Linked DNA regions of Cricetulus griseus. The protein of the gene in region 3 binds, or shares a complex with, the protein of the main gene of each other region. Links are inferred from orthologs where the notes say so. Each region holds a gene or a part of one and is shown on either strand. Other genes may lie near its edges.

The links.
Region 1: Dnajb13 (region 3) and Lrrc23 share a complex: the UniProt entries of both Homo sapiens proteins name them as parts of the axonemal radial spoke complex. The link is inferred for Cricetulus griseus from reciprocal best matches to the Homo sapiens genes DNAJB13 and LRRC23.
Region 2: Dnajb13 (region 3) and Dydc1 share a complex: the UniProt entries of both Homo sapiens proteins name them as parts of the axonemal radial spoke complex. The link is inferred for Cricetulus griseus from reciprocal best matches to the Homo sapiens genes DNAJB13 and DYDC1.

What each region holds. Positions count from the first base shown.
Region 1 is NC_048601.1:21,634,718-21,637,991, reverse strand, and holds the end of Lrrc23 (leucine-rich repeat-containing protein 23), read right to left. Parts: intron 1,092-3,274; coding exon 818-1,091; 3' UTR 641-817; downstream 1-640. UniProt on the Homo sapiens protein: Essential for sperm motility and male fertility. Plays an important role in the proper assembly of the third radial spoke (RS3) head and the bridge structure between RS2 and RS3 in the sperm flagella.
Region 2 is NW_023276807.1:179,037,931-179,041,583, forward strand, and holds part of Dydc1 (DPY30 domain-containing protein 1), read right to left. Parts: intron 2,469-3,653; coding exon 2,451-2,468; intron 1,157-2,450; coding exon 1,111-1,156; intron 496-1,110; coding exon 391-495; intron 1-390. UniProt on the Homo sapiens protein: Functions as part of axonemal radial spoke complexes that play an important part in the motility of sperm and cilia. Plays a crucial role during acrosome biogenesis.
Region 3 is NC_048596.1:99,001,320-99,005,072, forward strand, and holds the start of Dnajb13 (dnaJ homolog subfamily B member 13), read left to right. Parts: upstream 1-969; 5' UTR 970-1,301; coding exon 1,302-1,369; intron 1,370-3,753. UniProt on the Homo sapiens protein: Functions as part of axonemal radial spoke complexes that play an important part in the motility of sperm and cilia.

The DNA.
Region 1 (3,274 bases), on a different chromosome or scaffold from region 3:
TCCCATCACAGCCCGCCTCATCAGCTCCTTTCTCCAGACAACCCCTACTAGCATCCTGGTTGCCCCGGACCTGCTTCTGGGCTGTCCTCAATCTAAGTCTCCAGACAGAACCTAGGAGTTTAGGCCCATAGAACAAGCCACAAAAAGATGACCACCAAAGAGCCTGAGCCTTGGGATATGATGGATTTCCAGTTCTGGAACAAAACGCAGCATGCCCGGATTCCTAGCACAGGACTATGAACGTGGTGGTCCCCCGCCGGAGTCTCATCAATTCTTGAGGCAATGGTCAATGAGGTCTTGGTTAATGGTCTCCTGGAAGAAGAGGACAGAAGTGAAGCTGGTGCCCCACTCGAAATGCCCACGTCCCTAGGCTTCTCGGTCTCTGCTTCACCATGCCCTCCTTTCGCCTCCCCACCAGTGTCCTGTTATTTTTAGGTTCAGATTTTTAGTGCAGGATCCTTTCCCTGGCCCAGCTGCATCCTCTAGACACCACCAGCCACCCCTCCCCCTGGGCTCCCCCATGCCCCCAGACCTATCTCCCTGCCGCATATGGCTGCACACCAGCCCTTCCGTCTGCCACTCCAATTCTCACTTTTCTGGGTTCTTTTATCTTTTTATCAGCTCTTCCTGGCCTCTTATCTTTCCTTTATACCTAAGATACCTCCAACTCCCAAGTCTGGTCTCTGCTGAGGGTTCTCCTGGCCTCTTCTGTGCGTTCAGCCTTTGGCCTCCGCTAGCTGCCTTCCCGCCCCCTCCCTAACGGTCCGTCCGTCCGTCCGTCCGTCCGTCCGTCCGCCCGCGTAGGCTGGAGGAGCGGCTAACTTGGAGGCGAGTATGGCTCCATGTCATGCTCTCCCTCCAGTTCCTGTTCCTGTTCCTCCTTCAGCCTCTGGCGGATCTCCTCCGCCTCAGCCCGGTCCTCATCCTCAAAGAACTCTTTGTCCAGACGCTCCAGGTGTGTCATCTGCACCAGGGCCTCCTGGCGGTAGTCGGTCTCATCTGCGCACGGGTTGTCCAACAACACCAAGGCTCGCAGCTTGGGCAGGTCCCGCAGTTTGGCCAGCTCCCCCAGGTCACTAATCATGTTACTCCTGTGGATGAAGTCACGAGGGCTTAAGTCAGGAACATGGGCTTTGATTGCTAGCAAGGAATTGGGCTTCCTCTGTAAGAACATCAGGCTGAGCCCTAAAAGCAATGACTGTCGAGGACTGTTCTGCCAAGCAAGTGTGGCCAGCCTTGGCCGGATGCAATTCCCCAGTCCCGCCTCTACCCTTCAAGGAATCCCTAGTTGCCACTAGGGATTCCTTGCTCTGTGATGTGTCTGTCACCTAAAATTTTGGAGCTGCATGCCGGGCGTTGGTGGCACACGCCTTTAATCCCAACACTCGGGTGGCAGAGGCAGGCGGATCTCTGTGAGTTCGAGGCCAGCCTGGTCTCCAGAGCGAGTGCCAGGATAGGCTTTAAGGCTACACAGAGAAACCCTGTCTCGAAAAACAAAAAGCAAACAAACAAACAAACAAAAAATTGGAGTAGCAGCTTTAGGCCTCATCCTGCCTTGTATTTGGAGAGGAAGGGCAAAACGTTCTTTATAGGAGCAGATATCTTCTGTGTCAGCCATATCACACCAGAGGTTAGAAGGGTCAGATCAGCAGGGAAGGAGCTCGTGCCTAAGTATGAGGTGCTGTGGAGTTGGAGTGCTGTGTGGATGCTTCCCTCAGTAAGGAGCTAGGGATGTACTGGGTCTCCCAGACTGAATAAAAAGGCCAGTCCTCTGACGCCGACTTCTGAGACTCTGTATGGAATGGCATATTCCTGGCTTTCAAACATTTATGAAATCATTCTTAAGTATGCCACTCTAAGCTCAATATATATTGTGGGCCTCCAGGAACATTTCCTACTTTGAGCTCTATTGGCATTTTATTGGGCTCTGTACATATTACACATGTGCGAGGCCTTGGGTTTGATTGATAGAACCACAAAAAAAAAAAAAATCAAAGAATTGTCCATCAGAAAAGAGGTGCTAAGAGAAAAATCCCTCTGACCCTGTGTGTGTCCAGTCATCTCTTTCCTTCCTCTTCCTCCCCTCCTTGTGTATATGTGGGAGGCGTGAAACAGAGCCTGGCTATGCAGCCCAGGATGTCCTTGAATTCTCTGAAATCCTCTTGCCTCAGCTTCCTAGGTGCTGGAATTATAGACAGGAGCCACCATGTCCCTTTGTTTTTGTTGCTGTCATTGTTTTGGTTTGATTTTGTTGTTGTTTATTTTTGGGGGGGTGTTTTGTTTGTCTTGCTATGTACCCTGGCTGGCACAGAAATACTATTTAGACCTGGCTACCACCTGAAGCTTGTAGTAGTCCTCCCCTCCTGCCTCTGACCTCTTGAGTGTTAGGGTTATGGGCGTGTGCTGCCACAGCCGGCCTTGAGTTTTTCTTTTCTTTCTTCTTTTTTGGTTTTTCAAGACAGACAGGCGTTTGCTGTATAGCCCTAGCTGTCCTGAAACTCGCTCTGTAGACCAGGGTGGCCTCGAACTCAGAGATCTTACCTGCCTCTGCCTCCCGACTGCTGGGGTTAAAGGCGTGGGCTACCACCGCCCTGCTACATCTTATGTTTACCATCAGTTAAGGACTGTCATCTCCAGGTAGTGTTCAGTTCAGGAAGAAAGAGACAAGAATGGAAAGGGTGACTGGGGCCTCGGAGACAAAAGGGCGTTTGTGTAAGATATAGACAGGAAAAGGCACTGGAGTCAGTCTGTGAATTGCTTAAAAAACAAGGACTAGCAGCATAGTGGTGAATGCCTATCTCAGCTACCCGGGAAACTGGGTAGAGATTGGGGCCAGCCTGGGTAACGTAGCAAGACCCCCATGTTTAAAAATGAAAAAGAAGCTAAAGTGGGACCAAGATCAAACTATAATGCACAAACTGACTTTGTGGAGTCCATTCTCTATGGAGAGATACCTTGCTCAGCCTAGACACGGGGCAGGGGGGCTGCCTTGGTCCTACCTCAGCAAGGTGTGGGACAGACTTAGTTGACATCCTAGGAGAGGCCTTACTCTGAGGAGTGAATGAGAGGTGGGATGGGGGAAGGAGGGGAGAACAGGAGGAGAGTAGGGAGGGGGAACTGGAATTGGAAAGTAAAAAATAAATTTAAAACCCCCTCCAAAACAAAACAAAAAAGAAAAGAAAAGAAAAAGAAGCCAAGCACTGTGTGGCACACACCTTTAACCCCAGCCCTCCTAGGAAGGTAGAGTCAGGAGAAACTTTGAGTTCAAGGCCAG
Region 2 (3,653 bases), on a different chromosome or scaffold from region 3:
TCAAAAGCACTGGATGTTCTCCTAGAAGACCTGGGCTTAAATCCTAGCACCTATATGGCAGCTCTCAAACTTCTGTAACTCCAGTCCTGGGGGATCTGGCACCCTCTTTTGGCATCCACTGATACTACACATATATGGCAGTCAAAATACTCATACACATAACATAAAAGTAAAATTTTTAAAAATTGGTTAACACCTACACATTTGGTCTTCTTTGCATGAAGGAAAAGTATTCCGTGTATTATAAATATTATATATTTAATATATTTAGATAAATATATTAAGTTTAATATTCATTAAATATATTTAAAATATTATATATTGATAAAGTCATATACACCAGACTTTATCAACATGAAAACTTCTGCGACAACACATTTTGATACTCACATCAGATAACAATGGCTCTTCAAGCTCTTCCACTCTGCTCAAGTTAGGTGCTCCGTAGCGATCACTGATTTCAGCTAGGGTTTTGCCTGAGTCCATCATTGAGTCCTACAGTCATAAAAGTCAGTTTTTACTTTTGCATGTCTTCAAAATGAACCTGTTATTTTTCTGGCAATTTGATATAAAATTTCTGAATTAAGCACACAAAATCAACATTGTTAAGTAGTAGAATTCATCAATGGCTTTTAATGATACCAGAATTCTATCTAGTAAGAAGCACTAAAAATTATCTTTAAATGCATTTGGAATTTCAAAATGCACTTGTAAGTAATTCTATGTGCAATATAACAGGACATTGTATCTTCAAAATATACAAGTACATATTTCATGTTCAAATTTTATCCACTTTGAGGTTTATTTCAAAGCACCACACAGCTGTGACTTACCATTAGAATACTAATTTGGACTATCACTGTTATAGGGCTTTTGACTTTGCTTTTGTTTGTTAAAACAGGGTCTCACTATGTAGCTTTAGGTGTGCCAGGAATCACAACAACCAAGCCTCAGGCACTGTGATCCTGTGTGTGCCCTACCATATCCATCCTGGACCAGCACTTTTGACAATGTTCTTATTAAAACTTTAGCCACTGATATTTAAAACTTAGGTTTCTACTCTTAAACTGTACTCATTTCACATAACACACAGTAGCTATTCCTTCTCACCTCTTGCTGTAGGGACTCATCACCCTTAGCCCCACTTTCTGTGCTTCTCTCCTAAGAAAAAATTAAGAAAACACTGAATATTGTTTGTTTCTATTTCATGTTTAGATTTTAAGAATTTTTATTTTTATAAAGTGCTATGATCAGTTTAACAGCAAAATCCATGTCACTTTCCAAGGAGTAATCAGAGTAATCAGAATACAGGGCACACACACGCACACACACACACACACACACACACACACACACAAAAGGATCACAGTTTCATTTACTATATACTAATAAGAGATAATGGTTCATAATTAAATAAAATTCTTTCAAAAATGAGGCTGACCAGAGGTGAAGGTGTAAGACCCTCGAAAAGCTGATGCTTCCAGAATCTTAGCCCAGGACTGCGGCCACCCCAATCACAGAATGGAGGCGAAAGCTTGATGCAAATTGCATGAGGCTTTATTGTAGTTTAATGAGCTAACCCCATGTTAGCTCGGGCCTTTGACCCACCTACCATGGCGGATGGCTAGCAAAGACAGTTCGAAGCCGCTGCACAAAGATCTTTATAGGGCAGCATAAGGGGAGTGTCTAGGGGTATGCACAGGCTCAGGATTGGCGTGCCTCCAGGCTTGGAGGGTTTGCCCTGTGTTGATTGGTCAACTGGTTGTTATGGCCCATAGGCCCTCCCAGGGTGGTTGCTATGCTTTGTGTGTCATTGCTGTGCGCTTGTCCGTAAAGCACACCCAGGGTCGTAAAGCATAGTGCCACCAGCTAACTTCTGATTGGCTCCTTGTCACGAGGCAGGCATCTGACTTTCTAGTGACTAACTTCTGATTGTTTCCTTGTCACAAGGCAGGCATCTTACTTTCTAGTGACTAAGACAAGGTCATAGAGCACATGTTTGGTCATTATGGCTGCCAAAAGGGAAGCTGGTCCCTTCAAAGGGTAAATCTCAATTGCTGAAGGCATCATGATGCAGTTCAGACACAGAGCCCTGAGCTGAAACTGACCTGAGTACCTTTTTCCCTGGGGACAAGCTTTTGTGATACCAGAAGGTGCCATGAGAGCTTCAAAAGGAAAGAAGCAACCAACTGTCCTAGCCAGTTGTGATGTCCATGAACCACAAGCCCAGCATGGCACAATAACCTTAAGAGTGCAGTAGTAACACACATGCCTTACTGGTTTAACAAGAGTGGCATCCTGCTTGGTAACTGGAAACCTAGCTAACTACTCAGGTCAGGCAAGTTCACAGATCTTGAAGAAGAACTTAGAACCACTTTACTAAGCCAGCATAATCCCTAACAACACTCGAAACATTTGTCCTTCAACCCATAGACAAATGTAGTCTTCACACCACATTAAGGAAACTTCTCTTTGCAATAACAGACAGAGACCATTACAGAAAACCACATTAAATTAAATTTAAACCACATTAAAATAGCATTCAATTAAAATAAAACTGCATTCAAATTGCATTCAAATACAATTAAAATGCAGAGTTGTGGGGTCCAGTTCCAGTGTATACATCTACAAAACAAGTCATGCACCTAAGGCTCAGGGGACATGGAAGTGGGTGGAAAGATTGTAAGAACCAGAGAGTAGGGGGCTATAGCGGCAGAAGCTATATCCATAAAGTCTCCCAATATGGCTGCATACACATGAGCTGGCCAAGGACAATAATAGACATGTCAAAGTGGCCAGGGGAAAGCCCATGAGACTTCAACCCTGCATGAAAACTACAGGCACCCAAAGAATGCTAAGAGTGGGAGAAACTGTCTCCCCCAGGGAAAAGCACACTAATTGGTTGTCTGATGCCAAATGGTCAGCCCTGAAAACGTACACAAAAGTAGCATTATACAGACATGGCAGGTTTTGTTTTGGAATATATATGTGTGTGTGTGTGTGTGTGTGTGTGTGTGTGTGTGTGTGTGTAACAAAAATTAATGAAAAGGGTGCTATAAATTTGAAAGAGAGCAAGAAGAGGTATATTGGAGGGTTTAGTGGGAGGAAAGGAAATAGAGAAATGATATAATTACATTATGATCTCAAAAATAAAAAAGAAAATATATAAAACATACATTGTATGCAATTTTCTAAGACTGAATAAAAATATTAGGAATTTTAAAAATGGGCTGAATGAAATGTTATAATTGAAGCAAAAGTTCTAGCAACTATGTAAAGCAACAACATTAATGTCTTAGATTAAGAGATTTTTAAACAGAGGTTGAGTTTGGGCTTTATATACAGGAAAAAAATGAGTCCACATTCCTAAATGAATTCACCATGTCCAAGTTACTGTCCAATGCCCAAGTGTTCTCCAGAGGTCCTTAGCAACACTCATATGCTGCAGGGGAAATGTTCAGCCTGACATGAAAAGCCACTCTTCAATGAGAAGGTTCTTCTAACCAAGCCAACCTACTATGACCTCCATTTTTTCATCAGTAGGACGGTGCAAAAAAAGTCACATGACTCATACTGGGATGAGGCATTTTGGCAATTGGAAGATTACTCAGCTTGTGACTGTCCATATGGCCACACTAATAATTATAGGGATA
Region 3 (3,753 bases):
GAGAAAAGACTCCAATGCCAAAGCAAGTTCCACCCTTATTGTGTAGCCCAGGCTGGCCTCAAACTCAGGGCAGTCCTCTTTCCTCAGCCTCAGCTTGGATCATAGGTGTGAGCCATCATACGCAGCTTGTTCTGAAAAACGAAATAAAAAATAAATAAATAACCCTCCCCCTTTTTTTTTTAAAGACAAGGTCTTACTATTTAGCTTTGGATGTTCTGGAACTTGTGATAGTGAACATTATGTTTAGAGGACAAATTTACTTGTGCTAGGTTTGTGAAAACAAAATGTTTTTAACTTGTGTAATCTGTGAGGAAGTTACTACTATCTTGAATGTTCCCTGTCGGGACATGGATCACTTCCTGGTGCAGTTGGACTATTCTTAAAAAATTTCTGATTGTTACAAAATGCATCACTGCCCCAGCTATTCCTACAAGATAAATGGGTCACAAGATTAAACAGCTAACTGCTAAATTCTGCTTTTGTATGAAACACTTGCTTGGGTGCTGAGGCACCTGCTGGATGCCTGTTACAAAAATCAAGCCTTAGCCAGGCGGTGGTGGCACTCACCTTTAATCCCTGGGGAGTCTGAGACAGCAGATCTCTGAGTTGGAGGCCAGCCTGGTCTACAGAGCAAGTTCCAAGATAGCCAGGGCTACACAGAGAAACCCTGTCTTGAAAAGAAACAAAACAAAACAAAAAAAACCAAACCAAAATTAAACCTTGCCCATACCCAGACAAGATATGAGTTAATTTGACTCCCCCAAACTATAACATTGTGGGTTTTGCCTTTATAATCCTTTGACTGATAATAACCAGGACCTTACTTAGAGAACGCCCTAGTTTGTCCTGGCCAGGCTCTTTTTAATAAAAAGCCTCTAAAGTTTACTAATTTACTAAAACTAAAACTTGAGTCACACTGGTGAATGTCTGAACGACCTCTGACTCACAATGAATTCACAACGCAGATCAGGCTAGTCTTCAGCCCCCAGAGATCCAACTGCCTGTGCTGAGAGCAGGATTTAAAGGTGTTGCACCACTACACCCGGCTTTGTTCTGAAATTTTTAAATTCTCGGCAGTTGCTGTGCTAAAAAATAAACAAAAAAGTGTTCAGGGACTCCGGTTTCTGAGATGTGTGACCTTTATGGGGTCACAGAACCAGCTGTGAGCACCGCAGGGCCATTTGTTCAAGAAGGAAAGACTACAATTCCCAGAGTGCGCCTCGTGGTTGCCAGGGGCAACCATAGAACGCAGACTAACAGAGGCTGAAGTCTGAGGAAAAACTGATCTACTCCTACCAGCCATGGGGGTAGATTACTATGCTGTGCTCCAGGTCACTCGCAACTCAGAGGATGCCCAGATCAAGAAGGCGTAAGTGGGAGGGATCGGAGCCCGGTCCTGCTGAGGCAACCCTACCCTGATGCCAGCCAAACCGCTTCCCTGCGCAGTTTAGTGCAGGAAAGGGGCACCTCTGTCCTCTTGCCTACTTTTATCCTGGCTTTGGGCTGGTCAGGACACAGAATGGAAATTCAGACACACCCTTAGTGCACCAGTGGGCTCCCCGTACCCAGTCCTCATGCCTCTTAGCTCTACTTGGGTCATGTCCGAATTCCTAGCTATGAAATGAGAACAAAGGATCTTTCGGACCTTACCCTGAGTCTCAAGGAGATTACAGGACTGTGAACCAGAAATGACCTGACAAGTGGATGTTACAGTTTCCATTCTGGTGATCACACGGGTTTTTGTCCCTGACTGATACTCATCTCTGAATACCTCTCTCAAGTCTCAAGGACTTAGTGAAAGTCTAGATGCAGGTGTGATGCTAACTGCCTGTAATCCCCAAATGGTTTGTGGTCAGCCTGGCCAGCACAGGCTGAAGAGCAAGGTTCTGTTCTAAAAAGACAAGGGATAAGTGTGATGGGGGAACATCTAGGACAGAAGTCAGGCTGTATTTCTGAAAATTTTTGATCTTTAAACTTCTTTTCTTTGGAAAAAAAAAGTTTTGGGCAAGAATGCATTGAGCACTAACCTCTTGAGTTGTGCACAGAGCAGGTCTTTGTCACCGAGTATGTATCGTTATAAAGGATTACCTGGGGCTGTGTTGAGAGGCGAGCAGCTTCTTGAGAGGCTGTCCTGATAATTAAGCCAAAAGTCAAGGCCTGAAGGAGGATTAAGGCTCTGCAGTAGGCTGGAAAGGGAGAGGAGAGACTGAACTTGACAATTAATTGTATAATCAATAGTATAAAGAAAAAAGGAAGCATCTGAGGCAACTTGAGGTTTAGGGGTACACCAGATGCCTGTATTGAACATGGAGGTGCTTTTCTGAGAGTTTTTTTTTTTTTTTAATCATTGTTTTACTTAGTCCTCAAGTGACCCTGAGAGGTAAATGCCATTGTCATCCCAGGAGCTTGTATGCGACTAATGGAATCAGAGATCAGACACCATCCCTACCTCCCTGGGCCAGGTTCTTGTGTAGACTGAAGTGAAGTGTCCAGGGGAAAAAGAAGACAAACTCACTAAACAATTGAGAGCAATTCCGTACAGTGGATGAGTCACCCTCTGTTCTGGGCTTTCACTGGCCAGTGATTTATGAGTGGAAGGTTGCCATGAGAGAAATCAGGTTGCCAGTGGAACTCAGTAAGGGAAAGGTTACCATGGCAAACAGAGATAAACACAGCTTAGTTACTGGAACACCAACTGCACTGGCTAGTTTTATGTCAACTTAACACAAGCTAGAGTCATTTCAGAAGAGGGACTCTCAATTGAGAAAATGTCTCCACCGTATTGGCTGGTGGGTGAGGTGCATTTTCTTAATTGGTGATTGATATGGCCCATTATGGACTGGACCACTCCTGGGTGCTAGAAGAAAGCAGGTTGAGCAAGCTAAGAAGAGCAAGCCAGTAAGCAGCACTCCTCCAAGGGCTCTGCATCAGCTCCTGTGTCCAGGTTCCCTCCTTGAGTTTCTGTCCTGACCTCCTTTGATGATGGAAGATTTGATTTGACTGTGAAAATGTAAGATACAACAAACCCTTTCTTTCCCAAGCTGCTCTTAGTCATGGTGTTTCAGCACATCAAGAGAAACCCCGAGACACCAAGTACGACACACTCACTCAAGCTTTCCGTTCCTGATCTTCTAATCTCTTAAAAAAACAAAAGTGTGGAGGAGGAGACAGACCAAGGAGATAGGAGACGGCCCAGTTGGTAGAGTGTTTGCTGCTCATGCAGGAGGACCTGAGCAGGAAAAAAAAGCTGTGTTTCATTTGTACCCCTGGTTCTGGGGAGGCAGAGAAGGTGGTGAATTCCTGAGGCTGCCTGGACAGTCAGCCTAGCCTACTTGGAGAGTTCCAGGTCAGTGAGAGGCTGTATTAATAGCTGAGGTGGACAGAGGGACAAGAGGAGAGGTTGTCCTCTGGCCTCCACATGGGTGTGCCCACATGTGAACCTGCACAGACACACAAATAGGCAACACACACAGTTTTTAAAGGACAGGAGTTGTTTCAGGATTAAAATAGGATCAGATGCGATACTGTATATGAAAATACCCAGAAATCCCTGGCAGATGGAAGCATGAGGTAAGAGTAATGAAAAGAATTGTATGTTCCTGTTGACAGCCCATAACTCTTCCACTGTAGCAACTTTTAAGGCTTGAGCCTTGTGAATGCTACATTCTCTCATGGGGATGTCTTGAGACAGGCAGATCCCTGGTGCTTGAGGACCACCTGCTGTAGTAGAATTTGTGAGCCCCAGGACAGTGA